3 linked regions of the Saccharomyces cerevisiae S288C genome follow. The protein of the gene in region 3 interacts with the protein of the main gene of each other region in a pairwise test. Each region holds a gene or a part of one and is shown on either strand. Other genes may lie near its edges.

Region 1 (3,639 bases), on a different chromosome or scaffold from region 3:
TCAATGTTGTTGTTTTTCTATGATTTTCGATCTGGCCGTGTCAACGTTAATAAAAAATAAGTCGAGGAAGAGAGTAGTTACATATGTAGTGGTGTTCGTTGGTGCAATATTTGTTGATATAACGATGAGACAGGTCACCAAAGAATTTCAAATATTTGAGGTTTATATCTTTTCTAATTTGGCGCCAAGTTATTATCCTGTGATACCCAGTAAGACAAAAAATGCCCCATAGCAGTCCTTATCTTAATACTGACCATTATGAAGGGGCTTACATTGTACAAACATATTTGTAATAGAATGTACCGGATATTTAAAATAACCCAAGCATCAATTGTGTAGTATTCTTAATTTTTTTTCTTGGTAAATTTTTGGGAGAACATTTTTTTGTGTCATCTTAGGGGAAATTATAAACCATTATACACTCCATACCATGCACTTACTTAAATTCTATGGACACATCCATCAATTAAAAGATAAAACTAATAAATAGAAGCATGTTATATATGAATATATATATTCTTTCTGTCATAATATAAAAGGGCGAGCATGTTATTCCCTAAACGTCTGATTGTGTGGGGTGTTCTATTGATTTTAAGTTTATCACAATTTGTCCTCTACCTGCCAGCCACAACATGTACGAACTCTAAGGGACTTAGGTTATGCGCTCCACAGTTTACTATAACTGTGATTGGAGGATCCAGTACTGCAAATGAGTTTATTGCAAGTGTAAGAGAATTTCTGCGATTGATTTCGTACCTGACAATTGACATGGGTTGGTCGAATGAATTCACTGATCCAAGTGTGTATGAGGATGAAAATTTGGTGGACACATTTCAGCCTGATAAGGTTTTTGAGCTCAATTATTTTGGATTTTGTAAACGGAGTAATAAAAGCAAAGTTTATTGTACCTCTAATGAGAATTATGGCATGGACGTACTTGAAGTACTTGTCAGAGACGTCGGGATTCAATTAGGTAACATTTCCACTACACGATCGAATGAAACCAAAAAATTCGGAGACTCTCTCGTATTGACCTACCGTTTGGCATTGACATCTATTCGTGATTTTTTGAAACACGACAAGCACACAGGAAATGCCCTATCAAAGGCTTTGATTGGCAGTCCTGATCCAAATGTAAAAGGCGTGTCACCAACAAAAAACTATCTGAAAGGCGTCAACCTGGCATTTATACTGATGATGTTCAACGGCATGGTTTTTTACTTTGCAGTGTTGGAAATAATAGTCGGATTCCTCAGTATCTGCGTAGTGTCAGCCTTTGGGGGAGCACTTAGTGTTGGGAAACGACACCGCTTATTTCCTATGCTTTTGAAGTCATCAAGTTCAATATTAGTTGTTATTGCTACATTGACAATATTATGTAACATCGTATATTTGATTGCACTGAAAACATTAGAACCTGAAGAGGTAACAGACGTAGGATCTGACAACGCTGCTGTACACACTACAGGCTGGGAACTGTTAAAAGTAAACGTGGGAAGTGGGTTCATTATGGGGCTCGCCAGGTATGCCATCCAGTGGGTCCTATTGGTACTCGCATTTCTTGCAGCAAATCATTACAAAGCTAAGCCCAAAAAGTCTGATAAGTATACAGAAGACACATCTAACTCCCCTTCTCCAGACTTGATGGAGAAGTAATTCACCACAGAACTTTTTTTTCAAATGACAGTAAATATGTAAACATATACACAGCCTTTCAGTATATTAAGTATTTTTGCATAACGTCCTTTTTTCCCGCTCGGTCAAGGCTTTGAAAAGATATTATCAATGTTCTATTCTTACTGAGAAAAGCGTTCCTCCAAAATGCTTTTGCTGTAACGTACAGGCAGAGACTTCAGGAGTATATAATGGCAGGATTGAAGACATTTGATGCGTTTCGTATGTTATATGGATTTTTCTGAAGTAGCCCGCTTCAGCATATTTTATTTTTGCTTTTGCTTTTTCACTAACAATGGAAATTTAACTTTACAGCAAAAACTGAAGAACAGTACAAGAAGAAATCCACCAAGGGTGGCTTAACATCTTTGTTGACATATCTGTTTCTGTTGTTTATAGCATGGACCGAGTTTGGTGAATACTTCGGTGGTTATATTGACCAGCAGTACGTAGTGGACAGTCAAGTTAGAGATACCGTTCAAATTAATATGGATATATACGTCAACACGAAATGTGATTGGTTGCAAATCAACGTCAGAGACCAAACAATGGATCGGAAACTTGTATTAGAGGAATTGCAATTGGAAGAGATGCCATTCTTTATTCCTTATGACACAAAAGTCAATGATATCAATGAAATTATTACGCCGGAATTGGATGAAATCTTAGGGGAAGCTATCCCAGCAGAATTTAGAGAAAAACTAGATACTAGGTCATTTTTTGATGAAAGTGATCCTAACAAGGCACATCTTCCGGAATTCAATGGGTGCCATGTATTTGGGTCCATTCCGGTAAATAGAGTTAGTGGCGAATTGCAGATTACAGCGAAGAGTTTAGGTTACGTGGCTTCACGCAAAGCACCACTGGAAGAATTAAAATTTAATCATGTTATTAATGAGTTCTCTTTTGGTGATTTCTATCCATATATTGATAACCCATTGGATAACACTGCACAGTTTAATCAGGATGAACCTTTAACTACTTACGTCTATTACACATCTGTTGTGCCCACTCTTTTCAAGAAATTGGGGGCAGAAGTGGATACTAATCAATATTCTGTTAACGATTACCGCTATTTGTACAAAGATGTCGCTGCTAAAGGTGATAAAATGCCGGGCATCTTCTTCAAATACAATTTCGAACCATTATCCATAGTAGTTTCTGATGTTCGTTTAAGCTTTATACAGTTTTTGGTCAGATTAGTGGCAATCTGCTCATTTTTGGTCTACTGTGCTTCGTGGATTTTCACACTACTGGATATGGCTCTTATCACCATCATGGGACCTAAGTGGTCCTTGCGTTATCAGCCAGATGATAAAACTAAGGGTATTTTAGATAGGTAGATATGTAAAAGAAAAGAGAATGCAGTATACCCAAGATAACGTTTCATTTTCATCTGTATAAATTTCATGACAATAGATTATAAGAAAAAGTGTGAGACTGAAGGCAGAGCGATCGCACTCAAGTTTCTGTGCCAGGCATACCTTCAAACAATCGTCCATAACAGCCTGAATATGCTTCTCTAAAATGTTCATAAGGGTCCTCAGGATAAAGTAATACTCCGCATATAAAACAGAACAGCGTCCCGCATACTTCGCATTTCATTTTATTGCAACCTTCACTTCTTTCTACAACTACCTTACACTTTGGACATCGCTGCAAATTCGAACCCTCTTTTTTAATCGCTAAATCTAACATTTTTTCAGCAAGGTAATCATTGACTTCAAGTTCTAATACTCTTCTCCCATATTTTGCCTCCAGTTTCCGCTTTCTCTCATATGAAGTAACGGTATCATCTAGATATTCCTCAATAATATCGGTCGATAACGAAACTTTCTTGCCACATTTATTGTTGTAACCATGCCAGGCATGCAAGCAGTCAAAGCAAAATACAAAATGACATTTTTGACACTGAATCATCGCATCATCGAGGTCTTCTTTTGTGCACCAACTATCACATCTTCG
Region 2 (3,129 bases), on a different chromosome or scaffold from region 3:
CAAAATAGAGCAAGGTTTAATGATGATGCGTTTAACTTTGACTCAGAAGGAAAACTCGTTGTCAAGGGGCAACCTAAACCCTCTACTAATGTAGACGATCCATTGAGTGCTGTGACAAGCGGAATCAATGCGTATCTAGAGGCTGTGAAAAGTGGTCCTGTAAGAGGTCAAAGAAACAAGCTGAAATTCAGGAAAAATGGAAAGGACTCTGATGAATTTGGCGATGATGATGATGGTGAAAAGGATAGTAGGCTAATGAGAGGAAGAGTAAATCAAGGTAACAAGATTGGCAAACATAATAAGAAAGGTCCAAAGTTCAAATCTAGAAAAAAATTATAGAAGATTGAAACTGAGCAATATGGCTAATTACACACCTGGAGAAAAAATCAGATATGTATATATAAGAATATTATAATACTGTATATTAAAAATGATTAAAATAAAGAAAAAAATGAATCGGGCGTTTAATTGCTTATTATCTTGAAGAAGCGAAAGTACACTATATAGTAATAATGTGAGGTTAATTAAATATGGATGAGATAATGACGAAAGAAAATGCAGAAATGTCGTTTTAAAAGTAACCCCCATAATCTAGTGAGGTTCGACGTTGAAATGTGCTGTCCATATCTTCCTGCTCTGCCCATTTAGTATCAACATTTGAGTCGAATTGAAACATTGATATGTCACGGTCATCACCATGAGGAGACTCTGTTAAACTTTTATTGTTCTCTTTAAAACTTTCCTCATTGTTATTTTCTTGAGACTTTTGGTTAGGGCCTTCCACTTCGCCAAGTGATTCAAGCTCCTCATCCTCAAATGAAAGAGTTATATTTTCTAACCTATTTTCTTTTCTCATTATCGGCAGTTTGCTAGTTACAAATGGATTTTCTTGGATCTCTGTTAAGGCATCCTCATCTCTTGGGGTCATCGCCGAAGGCATCCTATCTTCGTTTGTTATGGTAGTGTGGTGATGGCGGCTTAGAATGGAAGATTTATAGCCTGCAATATGTGGTAAAGCCGGTACATTTTGAGATTCTTTTTTGGAAGCTCTTTCAATCATGTTTATACGTTGTCTAGCAATGACTAATTTGATCCAATCATCTAATCCATTATTATTTATTAGATCTTCTATCAACTCTGTTTTTCTATTCTTTGTTTCTAATTTCTGTTTCGCACCCTTGTTTTGCAGTAATTGATTGAGATAGTCAGGTATTGCTGACAAAGGATCAGATTCTTTTTCCTCACTTTGTAGTAATTCTACTGTGGGTAAGGCAGTTATTCGCGCGTCGGTCAATTGAGTACTATAAATACACCAGTCCTTGAACTTTTCCATTCCTCGTGAACTTGATAATTCGGAGTTTTCATCATAGACATCCAGAACGTTCGTAGGCTTAACAATACCTAGATTTTCCAGAGCCAGAGTTATATCTTGTAAAGCAATTGTATCGTCCTGATCACATCTTGCCTGAGCGATAGAACTGACCTCTGATGCTAACAAACTCAAGAATTTTGCATAGAGATCGGTCATGACATCCACCAGACTGGGCCTTGCCCTGTCAAATCCTTGTGCCTTCAATAATTGGAGAATAGATATGCGTAGTAGAGCAAAATAGAAGTCATTATTTGTAGTCATAGCAGAGGAACTCTATTGACCCAAAGATATCGCTGTTTTCCGCTAGTAGGTGATTTGGAATTGCTCAGGAAGCTACTTCAAGTGTTATATTAGCATACCTTCATCATGCAATATGAAATTACTGAAAAAAAAAACTAAAGCATCGCGAGCTTACCCGTTTCGCCACTTCTGTCAAGTGAAAAAACACGTTTGCATTGTTTAGGCTACAAGGTGTGGAATATCGAAGTTATTGCTAGACAGAAGTTCTTTAGGCATTTAGGTTTTGTTTGTGAGCTGGCTTGCTAATTTTGAGTACTGTGCATCATTGTTCCAGGATGTCTTCTTTATCGCTATATACTGTTCAGGCTGTTTTAATACTAGATCAGCAAGGAGAACGAATTTATGCAAAGTATTATCAACCTCCTCATAGATCTGATGAAGGACACCAATTGCTCTTCAATTCGGTGAAGAAGCAAAAAGAGTTTGAGAAACAACTATACCGTAAGACTCACAAGCAAGATTCGGAGATTTTAATCTTCGAGGATCATTTAGTCCTTTACAAAGAATACATTGATATCACGATATATTTAGTTGCTTCGCTGGAAGAGAATGAAATTGTTCTTCAGCAAGGATTTTCAGCAATCAGAGGAGCTTTGGATTTGATTTTGAACTCAGGAATGGACAAAAAAAACATCCAAGAAAACTATGATATGGTTTTATTAGCTATTGATGAAACCATTGATAATGGTGTTATCCTCGAAACTGACTCTAACACTATTGCATCCAGAGTTTCTAAACCACCTACGAACGAACCCCAAATGGCATTAGATTTGGATAAGGGTTTCTTAGGCGCGTGGGGTTTCGCAAAGAGCAAGTTTCAAGAAAGGTTACAGCAAGGCTTATGATCACAAGGCAAAGCGGATAGAAGAAAATTTTAGCTGGTCTTATATGGTATATATGCAGTGTCTTACTTTCTCCCTTCCATATATATGTATCTACTTATATATATAAGTATATGTTGCTCATTTAGAAATGATTGTCACCTCATGCTAATCATTTTATTCTTCTCGTTGGTCTGTGATGAAAAATAATGAAAAAATTATAATTGCTGTCTATTTTCTTTTCATCTCATATGATTTAGCGTTTTTTTTTGCCCTTCTTCGAAGAGTTACCACCGTTCTTGGTGGATTTCTGCCCAGCGATTGTTACTTTTAACTTGTCGACACAGAGCAGAAGAACCAAGTCCTGTTCCTTCAAGCCTTTAATCATTTCATGTTCTTGGGGCCAATCCATTTCGTTGTCAGTTGAAGAACCGTCTAGTGGTCTACTCTTGAAATAATGTAAAATTTCAGTTAAAGTCTTAGTTTTCTTCGCACTTCCCGGTTGTATTTTGACTTTGTATTTATATTTCAAAAGCGCAGGCCAGGGGGCAAATACTGGTATAATATCATCAACCACATCGCCCTTATCGAGAGATGGTTTTAATTCGGACTTGTGTTTATCATAGTTCACTCTTG
Region 3 (5,303 bases):
TACCAAGAATCAGAGAATATAAAGGTATAAGCAACCAGTCTGGGAACAGATTTGGTGGGATTAGTTTCGGCCTGACGGCTGAAGATATCAAATTCTTCCCTGAAATCGATGCAAACCAGGACTCATGGCCTAAAACTTTTGGTATGCACATAAATATAAACACCTCAGCTCAATTAGATTACCAGGCGAGAACTTTGTTGAGTGGGTTCCAGTTCCCATTTTTCGGAGAGGAGAAATAAGAATACAATCTCATGGTCCTGGCCAGTTAGCCATGCTCTATGGCAGAAAGGCAAAGGGCATATATAATTTCCCATTCGTCATGTAAATATATAAACTGTACAAGATACTATCTCTCTCCATTTTTCAATCATATAGTTCTCTTTGGGGCACTGAGATGTCTACAAATTGTTATAAAATTGGACGTCTCTTACACAACTCACAACTCAACTCTGTATAAAGATTTTTAGGAAAGAAAATGTACATAAAAGTGAATACTTGTTTAAAAATGAGAACAAAGATTCCTACGCAATTAAAATCTATTTAAAGATTTTCCTTATTTTTTTATTTCTTTTCGAATTTTTTAAGTTTTATTCTTATCTCCTTTGACATTATAACTTACATTGCATCAGCTCAGGGTGGTTCAAACATGAGTGAGAGCAAGTTTATTGGTCTTCTTAGCAATCAATGCCACTCTGTCACCTAGGGACAGAGCCAAACCTTGTCCCTTTGATCGGATACGAACATAACCTATGACATCATTGGTTTTGGAATCCTTTTCGATACACAAGTTGGCTAGGGCATCTTCACCAAAGGACGACTTCGCATACAGATTACAACTTAAGAACCTACAATCATCTTCTCCCAACGACTCTGATGGTGTTAGAATACCCATATTAGTTCCCTTGACCAGTTCTCTCAAATAAGCATGCAATGTTGGTAGTTGTGATTTGACCGATATTTTGTTCTCCCACTCAAATGCATTCCACATGGTACGGAAATGTTCATCGTCAGCAGTGGCTGGTTTGATATAATCCATAATGTCAACATGAACGTCGTTTAAAATAACATAACGAGCATCTTCACCATGCGCACCATCATAAATAATATTACCGAAAATGACACCTGTGTCAGCAGAGGAAACTTTGACAGTAACAGTGAATTTGTGGAAGCCATGAGGAATCACGTTGGTCTTCTGTGGTGTGTCAATAATCTTCAAATCACCAAGAGTTGCAAATTGCACATGTAGGTTTTTCAATGTTTCTTTCGTTTGATTAACAAGAAGAACATCTAATACGACGTCAAATTGATTGTTTGTAATACAAGCCTCGGCGTAAACTGGATCAGAAAAGCCACATAAAGGTACTATCTTCTTCAGCTTCGAAATACTAGAGCTGCTAGTAGCGTGGATTGCATCTCCTTTCATTGCCAGTTGTAAATCTTCTTCAATACTATCTTTTTGCACATTAGTAGAATCCACACCAGCAAATTGCCTGAAAGAAATCGGCGTATCAATTGGTTCGATGTTTTTGCAACTGTCTTTTAATGCTCTCTTATGCTTGTTCTTCTTTGCAATTTCAATTTGTCTCTTGAATGAGGATTTGGTGGTGTCCAGGAATGCAACCTCCAGAAGTTTAACTTCTTCCTTCTTTTCCTCAGGATTAACTTCATCCAATAAAATAGAAATAGATGTCATAACTCTCTCTAAAGAATCTTCATCAATTTTTTTCTCCACCAAAGAGCTTTGACCCACTCTTACAATACTAACTAAAATTAGTAAAGCTTCCGCCTTTAGAGCATTGATGACAGTTTTGTTCTTGGAAACGTTTTCGAATTTTAAAACAAGTTTAATGATGGTGTTGGCCAGAATGGCAGCTGTGTAGAAATCACCACTTAAAACAAACCGGCGAATTGGAGGTCTAGAATCACGTTCTTCATCGGTAACTGACTTTTGAGAAGTCTTCACATCGAAAGCGCTTTCAGTGGCATACGTACCGTCTGGTAGAATAACTGGACCAGTTGGCTTGGCGGTAGCGTCAACCTCATTTTCTTCGGTGTGTTCTTGGTTTTGTGTTAACTTTTTGATTTCTGATTGAAGGATAGGAACTTCACCTACGCTGTTACGAATGTGCTTCCAACAATGTTGTATCTCACTTTCTCCTTCAGCATACTCACCCATAATCCATAATGCACCGCGGTAAGCTTTAGCAGATCTCACTTTGTCTAGCGTTTGAACCATGTTTTCAAGGATATTGGCTCTAAGTTGTGGGTATTTTTCGATCACTTCTTTGATAAAGGCAATGATACCACTGGCGGCAACCGAGTTTAAATCACCGATGAAATCTAATAATAGCGAAACAACACTTGCTGCCATTTCTACAAAGTTTACAGCCACGGTACGAATAGTTTTTATTAACAATTGTCTGTACTGCATTGCCTTGTCTTGATCTGGGTTATTTACGGTTGTTTGCAGCTCTTTCTTCAAAAGCTGAACAACATCTTCAGCATTTCTGGATGTGGCCAAGTCCATTGAAATATCAAGCGCCTTTGAACGAACGTCTAAATCTTCTGCATTCAAGACTCTCAAAATATCCAGGGTTAACTCTTCCAAAGCACCTACGTTATTAGCATTGATGTCTTGAATACGGTCTAGAACAATTAACTTAATGTTATTATCAGAAACCTTGACGGCCAAGTCAATCAATTTGTTAACCGCAGGAACCAAGACATTTGGATTGGCAGACAACACAGTTAGGGCTAATGCGGTCTCGAAGATGACTTCATCGGAAGTCGTGGTCGAAAGCAGTTCCATCAATAATTCGATATATTGGGCTTTCAAAGCAGGGGTCCTGTTTGCATCTTGTCTGATAAATTGAACAAAGACAGCTTGTAATAAAGGGTCTAGGTTTTCTATATCAGCAATATTGTTCTCTAAATAGTGTAAGGCATTTTCACGATCTAATTCAGCTAACCCAATAAATGCATTTCTTTTACATATTGGATCAGTTTCAGCTACTATGAACGAATTGATGATTTCTTTAGCATCGGGAAGTAAATGTTCGCTGACCTTGAAAATGGAGAAAACTGCTAGGATTGCATACTTACGAACATATGCATGACGGTATTCCAAGCACGCTAAGACAGAGGGAACCATCTGTTCTAAGAGTTCGGCCTCTCTCAATTTCGTTAAAAACCTTAATGTGTTACCTCTAATATATTCATTAGGATGTTGCAAATCGTGTTGAATGGCATTACAGACAAGAATCATTTCATGTCTCAATTTTCCATCTTCAGCTAGTTTGGGAACAATTTCCCAGTAGAAGTACAAAAGCTTTTTTAATTCCTTATTTTTAGAAGGCATGACAAATCTTATTATGTGCATCAACAATTCAGGCATTGGATTTCCTTCCAGCATTGTAACTAAAATTGATTTCATCGTGTCAATTTTTTGTTCATCAGATCCCTTTTCAAGAGCTTTCTGAAAATCGGTACTCGAGTAAGTCTCCATACTCGGAGAAGGATCGAAAACCAACGTGTACGCTGGCTGTGAAGAAAGTGAAGTCATAGGTGCACTCTTGTTCAATAGTTAACTGTGATTACTTTTGTTTATTCTCAAGGCAATCTTAACTGAGTCTTAATGAACGTCAAATTTCACTTGTCGAGCTGTTGTTTTCTGATTTCTTTCTACGTGTAGCGAGTACACGGAAAGAAAAAAAAAACGAAGTGATAAGCTGGGTAATACTTTTCTAAAATGCTGTTCCATAAACGTACATATATGACATCTACAAAACTACAGAGAAGGATATCATTCTGGGTCTGAATCAGGGTTTGCCACACGCAAGCCATGCCCCAGAGAATAGCTGAGGTCTACCACATCAGAGTTCGTTGTGGAGACAGAGTCCTGACGCGATATATTACTTCTAGCATTAGCATCACGATAATCTTGAAGAGAGATATGTGTAGGAAGCTTTTGTCTGTTCACGTAATCATTATCCAGTGTTCCACTTCTCATTCTGTTCTGAGACCTTGTGTAGTAGCTGACTACCGTGTTAGATCTTGACACGGAATCAACAGAACCGTTTTGCCCTCTTTTTTCTCGTAAAGGCGCCATTATATCATCACTGTTATATGCTTCATCACCGGGTATGTCCTTGAGGTAGTCTTCGGCTTGTTCTGCGTCAGTGCCTTCTTTTTTTGAAATAGAGCCAGTTTCATTTTCCTTCCCTAACAATTTATGGAATTCCTTTGTGTGGTCAACATTGATTTTATTTTTCAGCCCTGTAGCGGTTCCATCTGATTCTTCATTTCTTGTCTCCAACGCCAGTAATTTCTGTTTAACTTTACCATGCTTGATACCAATTTGCTTAGAACTTGTCCTCAACTTGACCTTAATATTCTTGGGTTGAATCAAATTATTTTTTTGTTTTAGAGCAACCGGCAAGTTAGGAGGCGCTTGTAAAAAGTTAGAAGTCTTGTAATACTTTAGTCGCAGTTCTTCTACGTAACTAGAAACCAAAGGCACGGACTTTTCCGATTTGTTCGATACGACAGATGTTAACGGTGAACATTTGACAGATCTTTCGCTTGGGGCATCATGTACCGGATTTGGTAAATCCACCGTTGCAGGGATAGTAACTGTGTGTTCATTGAACGAGTGAGCAGCCGGCACTAAACTTTCTGAAATGGAGTTTAAACTGTTTAACTCGGATGTTTTATTTGATGATTTTGTGTTTCCGTTTGAGTCAAGAGCAGCCAAAACAGTTGATTTAGAGCCTTTTGATATAGAAAGTCCTGACTGGCTAGAGAAGTTTGACTTGGCATCATACTCACCAGATGATGCAGTGTCAAAAGAATGCTTGTCGGTTAGACTGCCCGTATCGTTTACACTATTTAAATAGAAACTAGGGCGATCTTCATTAACCACCCTAAATATTCTACGATGACTTGGTAACTCAGGCTCTTGTGTTGAGACGTCATTTTTTATAGATGAGCCTTGATCACTTGCGTAATTTATAAATGCTTTACTTTCACTATCCACAAAACCTTTTTCCTGAAGACCATCATCATCATCCTCGTTGGAAGAACCGCTATCAATCTCATTAGTTATCCGCAGAGGCTTTCTGGCGCTTGCAATACTTCCATCACTCCCAAGGTGCTCATTTGATTTATATGCAAAATCAAAATGTGCAGCTTTAAAACCACTAGATTCGTCTTTAGAAACTTGCTGAAGGCTTTTGGTGGATTTACCACTAGCCGATGTACTAAAGGAAAATTTATCATCCCCATCATCCAGATTCGAAGAAAAT

What was found.
Region 1: the proteins of SEC26 (region 3) and ERV41 interact in binary tests that used the Saccharomyces cerevisiae proteins (3 or more experiments, as listed by UniProt).
Region 2: the proteins of SEC26 (region 3) and RET3 interact in binary tests that used the Saccharomyces cerevisiae proteins (3 or more experiments, as listed by UniProt).

Annotation. Positions count from the first base shown.
Region 1 is NC_001145.3:138,441-142,079, reverse strand, and holds ERV41 (Erv41p), read left to right. Parts: upstream 1-1,865; coding exon 1,866-1,896; intron 1,897-1,989; coding exon 1,990-3,017; downstream 3,018-3,639. Other genes in the region: SMA2 (Sma2p), read left to right, coding at 547-1,656; ITT1 (RBR-type E3 ubiquitin transferase), read right to left, coding at 3,136-3,639. UniProt on the Saccharomyces cerevisiae protein: Constituent of COPII-coated endoplasmic reticulum-derived transport vesicles. Required for efficient transport of a subset of secretory proteins to the Golgi. The C-terminal Ile-Leu motif is required for exit from the endoplasmic reticulum.
Region 2 is NC_001148.4:533,071-536,199, forward strand, and holds RET3 (coatomer subunit zeta), read left to right. Parts: upstream 1-1,947; coding exon 1,948-2,517; downstream 2,518-3,129. Other genes in the region: mRNA-binding protein RRP12, read left to right, coding at 1-339; TAF3 (Taf3p), read right to left, coding at 572-1,633; RQC2 (Rqc2p), read right to left, coding at 2,750-3,129. UniProt on the Saccharomyces cerevisiae protein: The coatomer is a cytosolic protein complex that binds to dilysine motifs and reversibly associates with Golgi non-clathrin-coated vesicles, which further mediate biosynthetic protein transport from the ER, via the Golgi up to the trans Golgi network.
Region 3 is NC_001136.10:937,255-942,557, forward strand, and holds SEC26 (coatomer subunit beta), read right to left. Parts: upstream 3,563-5,303; coding exon 641-3,562; downstream 1-640. Other genes in the region: mitochondrial 54S ribosomal protein uL5m MRPL7, read left to right, coding at 1-239; YDR239C (uncharacterized protein), read right to left, coding at 3,803-5,303. UniProt on the Saccharomyces cerevisiae protein: The coatomer is a cytosolic protein complex that binds to dilysine motifs and reversibly associates with Golgi non-clathrin-coated vesicles, which further mediate biosynthetic protein transport from the ER, via the Golgi up to the trans Golgi network.